Linked DNA regions of Drosophila melanogaster. The protein of the gene in region 2 interacts with the protein of the main gene of each other region in a biochemical or structural test. Each region holds a gene or a part of one and is shown on either strand. Other genes may lie near its edges. The genes, in order: IscU and MAPk-Ak2.

Evidence for each region.
Region 1: of the proteins of MAPk-Ak2 (region 2) and IscU, one has a biochemical effect on the other in vitro, tested with the Drosophila melanogaster proteins (one study listed by BioGRID).

The regions. Positions count from the first base shown.
Region 1 is NT_033777.3:8,822,187-8,826,210, forward strand, and holds IscU (Iron-sulfur cluster assembly enzyme), read right to left. Parts: upstream 1,992-4,024; 5' UTR 1,886-1,991; coding exon 1,799-1,885; intron 1,616-1,798; coding exon 1,238-1,615; 3' UTR 1,075-1,237; intron 884-1,074; 3' UTR 663-883; downstream 1-662. Other genes in the region: CG8369 (uncharacterized protein), read left to right, coding at 283-480, 538-596; CG8379 (uncharacterized protein), read left to right, coding at 2,369-2,422, 2,502-2,703, 2,766-3,222, 3,447-4,024. UniProt on the Drosophila melanogaster protein: Scaffold protein for the de novo synthesis of iron-sulfur (Fe-S) clusters within mitochondria, which is required for maturation of both mitochondrial and cytoplasmic [2Fe-2S] and [4Fe-4S] proteins.
Region 2 is NC_004354.4:5,759,272-5,765,952, forward strand, and holds MAPk-Ak2 (MAP kinase activated protein-kinase-2), read right to left. Parts: upstream 4,933-6,681; 5' UTR 4,798-4,932; intron 3,662-4,797; exon of another isoform or gene 3,512-3,661; intron 3,414-3,511; exon of another isoform or gene 3,411-3,413; 5' UTR 3,389-3,410; coding exon 2,830-3,388; intron 2,314-2,829; coding exon 1,898-2,313; intron 1,550-1,897; coding exon 1,445-1,549; 3' UTR 637-1,444; downstream 1-636. Other genes in the region: CG42699 (uncharacterized protein), read left to right, coding at 5,644-6,324. UniProt on the Drosophila melanogaster protein: Its physiological substrate seems to be the small heat shock protein (HSP27/HSP25).

The DNA.
Region 1 (4,024 bases), on a different chromosome or scaffold from region 2:
AGGGATCGAAAATAAACAAAATTATAAATACAATTTTGGATCAAACGAAGCAATTTGTTGTATGATTGGAAAGTGCAAAAATAATTGGCTATCCATTAAGACCAAAAGCCCAAATGAATGATCTCACGGACAGAATTATATTCCGATCTACAAAAATATAATTTGCTCCGAACGGTGATGCAATTAAATTAAATAAAGTACTAATACATATTTATCTAGTTTTCATTTAAACAAACATAATTGAGCGGGCTTAAGAATTTTAACATGACCAAACTTATTTAGCACTGTGCTTGCTGGCATTCGTCCTGGCTACTCCGGCCAAGGACACCAAGAAGCCGGCCACCAACAGTTGCCAGCACAACTGCGGTGAAGTCTACGAGCCCGTTTGTGCCAAGGCCAAAAACAGCAGCAAGGAGCGCCTCCTCACCTTTGGCAGCCCGTGCGTCATGGCCAACTACAACTGCCAGCATGCCGACGATCGTAAGAGATCCTCTACAATATCCTTACAGAATTAAATATGATTTAATCCTTTTGCAGCATTCGAGCAGAAGTCCAAGGGCGAGTGCGGCGGTGGAGTGAGCGTTCGCCTGTCCTAGAAGTCCAATTTCAACACTTTTGACGATTAAACATCTTTCACTGATTGTGCAATAATATATTCATGTATTTTTTATTCCAACGGGAACGCTTTATTTGTTTTCGACACAAGCTTGTATTTCGCATAACAGAACGGAAAATTTAATTAGCTCTCGGGACTACTTAGAATTCCCCTACAAAACACACACGTGCATATGCATTCATACAAGATCAGTTCCAGCTATCCTTTAGTATCAATGACAGACGATTCCTAAACTTCTATGCACTTATCAGCAGTCACGCGGCCAATCTGCAATCAAAATCAAAGCATTAATCAGTTGGTATGATTATTATTGTTATTATTTCAGTAAAAGTGTGTTAAGAGCAACTAGCCAATAGGCAATAAACGAGGATTATTTTGCATTGTCATACATATTATTAAAAAATATGTATGTAGTTCCTCTTAACCACCATTCACTGTATCCATACCATTTGACTCACCACTCACAGAGCTCTAGCGAACAATAATCGCATACTACGACCTAATGCCAAGTAATATATAGTATATGGTATTGTATTGTATGGTAGAGTACTTATAGTTGTTTTTTTTTTAGTAGTTGTTCAGAGAAACGCTCCACTACATTCACAGATTCCGTTCCGCCTCTCAGTTGGCCACCTTCTTCTGCTGCTTGACCTTGTAGTCAGCCAGGGCCGCCTTGATGGCATCCTCGGCCAGCATGGAGCAATGCAGCTTGACGGGCGGCAGACGCAGCTCCTTGGCGATGTCCGTATTCTTCAGCTTTCCGGCCTCGTCGATGGACTTGCCCTTCACCCACTCGGTGGCCAGGGAGCTGCTGGCAATGGCCGATCCACAGCCGAAGGTCTTGAACTTGGCGTCCACTATCTTGCCGTTCTCGTCCACCTTGATCTGCAGTTTCATCACATCGCCGCAGGCTGGTGCTCCGACCAAGCCGGTGCCCACAGTGACATCCTTCTTGTCCAAAGATCCCACGTTGCGCGGGTTTTCGTAGTGCTCAACGACCTGTGGGTGAAAATAGGTAGGTGTGTTAGTCACCAGGGGGTTGTGCTATCGCGCTTATCACTTTGCGTGCCGCCTGAAACGCTGTCTTTCAGAACGACAACAAAGTCGTTTCTTATCTATATTATACAGCTTCTAGATATTACGAAAGAACCTTCCGCGCGGCAATTGCGAGTTCTAACTTACATTTTCATGATACAATGCCACCGGGACACTTTGTACGCGCTTCAGCTGCGATCGCAGCAACCGGGAGGAGTTTCGCACCAGGGACATATTTAAATTAAATAAATCAATTTAATGAAGAATTGTTGTGAAATTCAAAGAGATCGAAAAAACACAGGCAACTGCGTGTTAGAAACAGCTGATGGACAGTGTGCCCGTTTTAAGGCAGATGTGAAAGACCAGCTAACGCCGTTGTCGATATGTTTTCGATTTTTTAAAAGATTTCTTATATTATTATTATTTACTCCTTAAAAACAGTTCAGTATAATAAGTTATTTACTATAAGTAATAAATTGTTTTTATCAATAATGAGCCATAAAAAAGCTTGAATAAAGCACCCTCTTGCATTTAAAATCACACTCTGAGTTGGCAGCTTGCCAGGTATTTTGTAAACTCACTCCTATGGTCACTCCCCAATCACAAAGTTTACTATTGCCCATCCACAAATTCTGCCAACTTCCGATATATTTTTACAGCAGCAGACTATGAGTTTCTGAAACTAGTCCCCTAGGTCAATAATATCCACATCCAGTCATGACCTCTCGCAAGCGCAGTGGCAGCGGCTCCACCAAGCGGCCCAAGGAGAAGGTTCGCCCGGAGCACTGGATTTCACGAGCTCCGCCCTCGAAGATTTGTGCTTTGCTTGACTAATTGGAATTTATTGCAGGTGGTCTATATATATGAGCTGTTGTGCCGGGGCGAGGATCCCAGCAGCGAGAGTCCCGAATTTTGGAACGAGTTCTTCCTGCTGCAGCCGAACTTCGAGGCGCTGGAGAATGAGATTGGCAAACTCAACAACGAGCAGCTGCAGCTGGTGAAACCGAACCTGAACACCCTCTTCCAGAGGTGCATCGAAATGCTTGACACGGGTAGACCAGTTTGACCTATTAATATATACCTCCAGCCACCTATAATCCGTGATTTCCCCCAGAAGATCATCCTAAGCGGCTGTGCAACAGCCTACACACGCTGTGCTCCCTGTTCTACGGGATCTTTAAGAAGTCCAACGCAGAACCAACATTAAACATCCTAAACGAGATCTTCGGCCATGAGAAGATGGACGAATGGCTGAAGCTACTCATGCAGTACTGCAATCGCATCCTCCTGGGCGATGTGCCCGAAAACGCTCGATTTATGTGCCTCAAACTGCTGCAGGTTCTGGTTACGGGCACGGATAACGTCAACCAGAACGCCCTCTTCGAGCATCTAATGATGCACAGCATGTTCGACGCCTTTGTTCGGCTACTCAGTGATCCTACGTTCCGTAGCCAGCATGGACACGACATCGTTATCCTACTTACTATCCTGGTCAACTATCGCAAGCATGAAGCCACTAACCCCTATGTGGTGCAGCTCTCCATACTCGCTGATGAGCTGGCTTTAAATGGGTGAGTCCATTTAGTCAATGTAATGTATGTATGTATATTTCTGGCAACTTATGTGAAAGCAATTGGCTTAAAGAATTTATAATCGAGGGTAATCAAATATTTAAACTGAATCACAAAGTTCTTTTATGTGGCAGCAGTTGGTGACTGACGTCATCAAACAGATAACTTGCCACGAGCTTGCATATCTTATTTCGATAGTAACCCGAACTTTATCTTGATTCCAGCTATGGCCAAATGATATCGCAATCGCTAATTGATTTCTGTCGCCAGTACATTCAGAGCCTTAACAATGTGCAATCCTCTTCCTGGTTTTCGTCGCTGTCGAATATTGTGGGCAACATGTTTGTGTCGGATGAAGGATGCGAACGGGTGCAGCAGATCAAGGCGAATAATGGCCTTCTACTTGCCCTCTACGAGGCAGTGCACCTGAATCGGAACTTCATCACAACTCTGGCTCACACGCAGGCAGAGTCCAGTGCCCCGCCCTCGCCCAGTAACACATTGAGTCTGGCCCAACCTGTGCCGGATCTATCTAATGCACCCATCATTGACATTACGCAGTATCCCACCAATCTGCTGGTGGCCGTATTTCAGTACTGTTCCATCGTGATGCAGGACAATAAGAACGAATCGAGCATTGCTAATCTGAAGCTGTGTTTCCTCATCCTCACCTGCATTTCCGAGGACCAGTACGCCAACTCCATGATGCACGACAGCAATCTTACCTTCAAAGTCATGCTGCATCGGGCGCAGATGCGTCATCGCAAGCTGAATGTGGATCGGGTGGGCAAGTCCCAGCCTT
Region 2 (6,681 bases):
CTGAAAGTACGTCAAGGTAAACGTAAAACGCGAACAATAAAACAATGAAAAAAGAAGCCCGTAAAAACGATACAGTAAAGCAGATCGAAACCACAACACGAACCTCTTACAGAACCTCTGATAAAAAAAAAAAAAAACAACACCACACACAAGAAATACAAAAGAAACGACACGAATAACCGAATCACAAGTACAAGTACGTGAATGTTAACTATTGTCTTAGTCGTAGCCTTTAGTCCGGGTATTGTAATCGCGGCCTCTCGCAGCTGTTGGCCCATCACACTGTTGGCAAATTGTTATTTGCAACCTGCACGAAAAACAACCTCCTCCTACCCATTTCCCCACCCGACCCCACGCCACGCCCCATTCCCGCCCACAAGCACCCTATGCGAAAAGCATCGTTGATGATTATTGATGGCTCACATGCCGGAGCACTGTTGTTGATCATGGAAATGGAAAATAAATGACACTACAAAACCGAAATCCAGCTGACTTTTTGTTTCCATACCAGATGGTGGTGGTGGTAGTGGGTCAAGCTCAGAGTTTTTCCAGAAGATGCAACCACCACTTGTTGTTTTCTCCCTCTAAACCGTGCTTTTATCCCACTTGGCGTTGAAATGAAAGCAATTTTGTTTTATGTTTTAATCATAGTAAAATAAGCTTGATTTGTTTTTATTAATTTGGGGGATGATCTTGTTGTTTATGGACTACAAATATGCTATACGGTAAAATGGTATATCGCTTGCAGAATCAGCAAATAAAAGTTATAAACAACACTGAATCTTGCGCAGATTAATGCTAACGTGAACTGGCTGTATAATTGTTTCTCCACACATATGCCATACATACACAGACGGTTATACATATACATATATATATATAATTATAATCAAAGTCACGTACACGTAAAAAACGGTTCGGTTACAAATGACACGTTTTTGGAAAATAATATTTAAAAAAAAAAAGGGAATCGAAAAACGAAACACTTTCACGCGATACCGAGACATTTTGAATATTCGGCTGGGCTGGCTGGCTAGCTAGGCTTGCACTTGGCTTTACTTAAGTTCGTTATTTGCGCATTACGCTTTATAGTTTCTTTTACAAAAGAGCACTTTTCAGACTACAAAATACCCTAAGAACCCTTGACTGGAAATGGATAGATAGATAATGGGACAAAATGAATAAGAAAACGTAACGTAACAATAACATGGAGTAGTTGTTTTGCAAAGGTTGCTGTCATCGTAGTATATTAGTTAATAGCAGATCTTGCCGCCGTCGTAGTATAGTAGTATTTATCGTTTTTGTAAAGCATTGTACAACATTGTTATCCGCTTAAGTGTTAAACCGATGGTTCGCCCATCCTACATCCTACGCCCATCTCTCCTCATCTCATCTCATCTCACTCCCGGGTTGGCCGTGTTAGTCGCTCTGGATTCCTCGTTGTCTAGTTGCGCGTCGCATTGGCCATGTATAACTCCATCTCCTCGATCTTTTTCCTGCGCTTCGTCAGCAGCGGGTTGTTCGACTTGTCCAGCGCCTTGATTTGCATCTGCAGAAAAGAAAATTCCAATTAGGAAAAGACCTTCTTTCAAGTTTTGAACTAATCAAAGCATTTCAGGCGCATTAACCTCCTGTTAGTTCTTATAATTAGTGACTTTCCAGTTCACGACTAGAACAAAAAGAGGGCTAGGAAGTAGGCGACTTGCTAATTGCTTAAGCATACTGAAATTGAAATTTATTTTTCCATTGTATAAACAAATTGACCGAAAAGATACTATGTACAGTATGTGGTGAGAAGCAAATGAGTAATGGTTATATAATAGAAGTGAAAACTTTGGACTCGCATTGAGATTTATCTTTTTGTTGCAATGCCAAGTTGCCACTGCGGGTGACTCACCTGATCGTAGTCTACGCGCATGGTGGCCAGTGAGCGCGTCATCTCCTCCTGCACTTCCGGCCAGGTTTCCTCGGCCTCCTTTAGCATGCGACCCGTGCAGAGCGGTGTCTGTGGAACAGCATTGTACTGGGCAATCCACTTGTTGCTAATGACGTCCTGGATGCGCAGACGCTTGCTGGGGTCCACGTTCAGCATGCCCTTGATCAGATCCTTTGCCGCCTGGCTCACATTCGTCCACTCCGGATCGGGAAAGTCATACTGGCCGGTGCGGATGCGATTTTTCATGCCGGGCGATATGGCTAGGCCGTGGTTGCTGTAGAACGGCGGGAATCCGCACATAATGATGTACATCACCACGCCCAGCGACCAGATGTCGCAGCTCTTGTCGTACTTCTCCGGGCCCAGAACCTCAGGAGCTGCAAAAGAAAAAACATGTCATTAAAATGGGAACTATCCAGAAGAATATCTTATAATATATTCAAAATGGAAAATGTACTAACTTTAAGGAATAAGTACACTGTATTTACCCAATGAGAACTGAATTCTAATTGTTAAAACCTTATTATGAATCCCCCGATATGTTCGCAACCTTTCTTTCCGTTCGATTGCAAATCGAGTCGATTGCACTTTGCAAACTCTCGAACAACTCTTTCGCAACGAGATTGAGAACAAGGCTGAATTGAATTACAGAAGTTATAGAGAAAGTTCGCTTAGTAGATTATGTAAGCGGGGCGGTACAAGCATAAAAAGTAATTTTACTATCAGCAAATGCCTGTCATGCGGCTTCCGGGCTAAAACAAAAACTCCTGACACAATTCCGTGTGGGTAAACAGACGATTTTAACAATTATAGAGCAATTTTTCGTGCCCAATGTGACAATTGACCTCAACTAGAAACTAGATGATGATTATCCCTACAAAAGGCACACTCACCCACGTAATAGGGAGTGTAGCAGGGCGTCTGCAGCGTGTAACTGGTGAATGTCTCCTTGGCGAAGCCAAAGTCCGTCAATTTAAGGGTCGCATTCGGCTGAGTGGTGGTGTACAGCAAGTTCTCCGGCTTGAGATCGCGATGCGCTATGTCGCGACTGTGCAGATAGTCTACGGCCGCGCAGATCTCGTGCATTATCTGGGCCGCCTCCCGCTCCGTAAAGGCACCGTCGGCCTTGTCCTGAATTCTCTGGAAGAGCTCGCCGCCCTCCATGCACTCCATGACCACCAGGAGGCACTTCCTGTCCTTAAACGTGTTCTCGTACACATCAATGATGTTCACAATGTACCGGCATCCGCTGACCCGCCAATGCAGGTCCACTTCGCGACGCGCCCTTTCACTGTCCAACAGCACCTTGAGGGCATAGTTCTGTTGGGTGCGGCGATGGGTGCACTGCACCACCTTCCCGTTGATCCCGTAGCCCAGAACCGTGTTCGAGGTCACGTAGTCGTCCGTCAGTGGGGTGGTCTTCGGTTGCCGTTGATTCTGCAGAGAAAGCATTCTGGAATCGGCTGATCTTTAACTGAAAAAAAGATAAATGGTCAATGGAGTTCGGTGATGAGTGGTCTTAATTTTATAAGTAATCTAGTCAGCTTTAAAGCCTTGACTTGATACCAAACTAACTTCGTTTTTGTGCAATTAAACAAAGCTTTAAATTGATTTCATTATTGCAAGACGCTTCTTTTCATTGTTATCGTGAATGGAAAGCCAATTTTGGTTAACGATTTATGGGCAACTTATTTGCTTAACGATTTCGGCGTCATTGAGGGTCGGGCCAAAAAAAAAAGTAGTCGCTTGAGGAACAATAAATTTTATTTAATTATTATCTTTCGCAAAACTATTGTCGTCGTAAATGTAAGGTTCAGTTAATCTGGGTGTATAGCAGTTGGGCTTTTTAATTACTGGCAATTAGTCTGCCGTGGGAATTGATAGGGGATTCCTGCACAACGTTTCCACTGCTCTTTTGGAAAGTGAATCCCTGGATAGCAATAATAAAAGTGCATCGAGAAAAATGTGTTATTTTCTTTGTTTTCGTATAATTAACCTTTTGGATCTAGAAATATAGTCAAGATCTTCAAGAAGGGTACATTGCTTTCATGGCGTGTACGAAACGAGAATAGGAATTGCTACATACATTCAGTTCTCCAGCCTTATAGATATACAGAATATGGAGATCCGAGAACCTCGAAGAGCTGCGATCTCGGCTCGATTCAAATTGCATGCAAATGAACTTACAGAGAGGCAGAAAAAAAATATCAAAAAGAAATCTGGGGGCGGAGGAAGTTGGGTGGGGTGGCTGGTTAGGTCCACAGTCGCTGCATATTTTCGTGTTTTCTTTCTTTTTCTGTGTTTTCCTGGAAAAACGGTATACAATGTTTTTCTTTCTGTTTTTTATAACGGGGGAAAACAGGAAAACGGTAGTAATTGCATATGTTGGACGCGTTATCGGTAATCGCTAATATCGATACACGGCTGTATGCTGAGTGCATTTGTGTGCGTGCTGCCGCACTGCTGATGAAATACATGGTGCATTTGGTTTTTGTTAATTTCGTGCACATTACGCAGTGGCGGAGAATAGAACTATTATTTTCTCAGTCTTCTTTAAAATTGGTTAATTAACGAGTATTTTACTGCCCACACACACACCGCACGCACACCGAAAAGGCCGCGCACACACACACACACTATCGAACGGCCATACAAATGCAAACAATGCGTCATGTTCTCCCACTGTTTAACTAGTAATTCCTAGAGTTCTCGTTTTCACTGTACACGCCAGTACATTTTTTTTATCTTGTTATCGCCTTTCGATCGTTTTCAGGTGGTCCAGTTTTTTTTTTTGGCCACGCGCAGCGATTTTATCTTATCCGCTTTTCATTCTCGCCCGGATATATATTCCGCATTATTACCTGCTCTTCAGCTGATCGTATTTACCTTTCGGATATTTACTTTAGCGTGCTATGTAACGGAACGAAAAAAAAGAACAACACGACCAGGGAATTTATTTGTAAATGCTTCGCGGTGTGACCAGGCGACACTGAATGGAAAAAGCTGTAAATACAGTGCAATGTACCAGTACAGGTATGCTAGTTAATCGATTTGCGGGTTATCGGCTTGTTCGAAAGCTAAAAATCGATTAAATTGATCGAATACAGGATAACGGTACGTTTTTGTATTAGATCTAACTGAAACTACGTTTTCCAATTAGATTTCGTATTAATTGATTCTTGTTAAAAAATAAAAAAATGAAGTTTTACTTGCGGAACAGTTATGTCTGAAATGCTTACGTTAAAATCGGTCACTGAATGACGTTACTTAATGTAACATAAACAAAACATAAAATAAAATTGTTTGACTATCGAATATTTTGTCGAGCTGCTTATCGCCGTTCGCCCATCACTACTACCGACTGTCTACAAAGTGGAGTGGGGTGTGGGTACTGCAAAAAGTGGTTAAAATGTTGTTGCCACGGCCAAACTGACGATGCGCCGCGTCCGCTGAGCCTCGTGTCCGCATCCGTGAGATCCGTGATCCCCAGGTCCGAGCTCTGGGCACCCGGAAATTCCCCAACGAGCACATAGTCCGGCTGTTTTCTGTTCGTTTTCAATTGGTTTGCATTGATAGACCAGGCAAACCAAACAAACAAACAAACACACTGAAGCATCGGGATTCTATATATATAAATAGAATAGAAACAGAAAAGTAGATAGACATCCTCACTGGCCCCATTTGATTGCGGATCACATCAGCGCGCCATGTCGCAGGTGCTTAGCCCCCACAAACAGGGCGTGTCGGAGGCGGATGCGTTGGACTACACGAACAGCAGCTCGATCATCGAGTTCCTGGCCAAAGAGCAGGACTGCGGCGGAATACTGAACGATCCGGACCCGGAGTCCATATTCCAGGAGGTGAGTCGCCTGTCCGACAGCACAGATATGCGATCCGTGGATGAATTGCTGCAGGAAGCGGAGCGCCTGATCCAACAGCAGTTGCGTCTCGGCGGTATTGTTCCAAAACTGGACGCTTCCGGGCCCCCTGCTCCGACCAAAACCCTCGGAGAAGAAGCTGCCACCGGTGGTGATGGCTCTTCCTCATCCCCGCAGTCCTCGCCGCATAGCAGCATACGGCTGAATACACGCTATACCCATCGCATCGAGCATTCGCCTGCTCCCTTGGCGCCAAAAACCGTCGCAGTCAATGGCAGAGTCCGGCCCAGATCCGGTTCCAAATCGTCGGCCTCGCCAACATCGGTGCAGACGCCGCTAGAAAGCAGCAATGGATGCGGCTTTGCCGCCTTCGTGGATAACCTGCCATCGGCGTCGGTCATTTCCGAGGAGTCCACGCCCAAGGACATGGACATGGAGAACCATACGGCGGCCATGGCAAAGCTGCAACTCCAGCAGCTTCAGGATAATACCGATGACGACGAGGATACGGTGAGTTTCAAAATTCGCCTTGCAGGTTTATATTCCACTTATTCTTATTGGCTTGTATTTGGTCATGTTCTTCTGACTGCTAGAATGAATTTCGAGTTGGTTTTCCATCAAATATATACTTTTTTTTTCGAAATATTTCCCCAATTTATGGTTAAACCACGGTGTGTTTTGTTAATTGCTGGGACATTCTCAGGGAATTGCTGTGCTATTAGTCAGCTATAAGCTGATATTCCGATCAAATAAATTCTCCAATCGACGTGTAGTAATAAATAGCGAGGATTCATTTATTGCCCGCCGTACAGGATTCAAAGGATACAGCAGCCCACCCAAAACACACACTCACTCTCAGTCACCAAA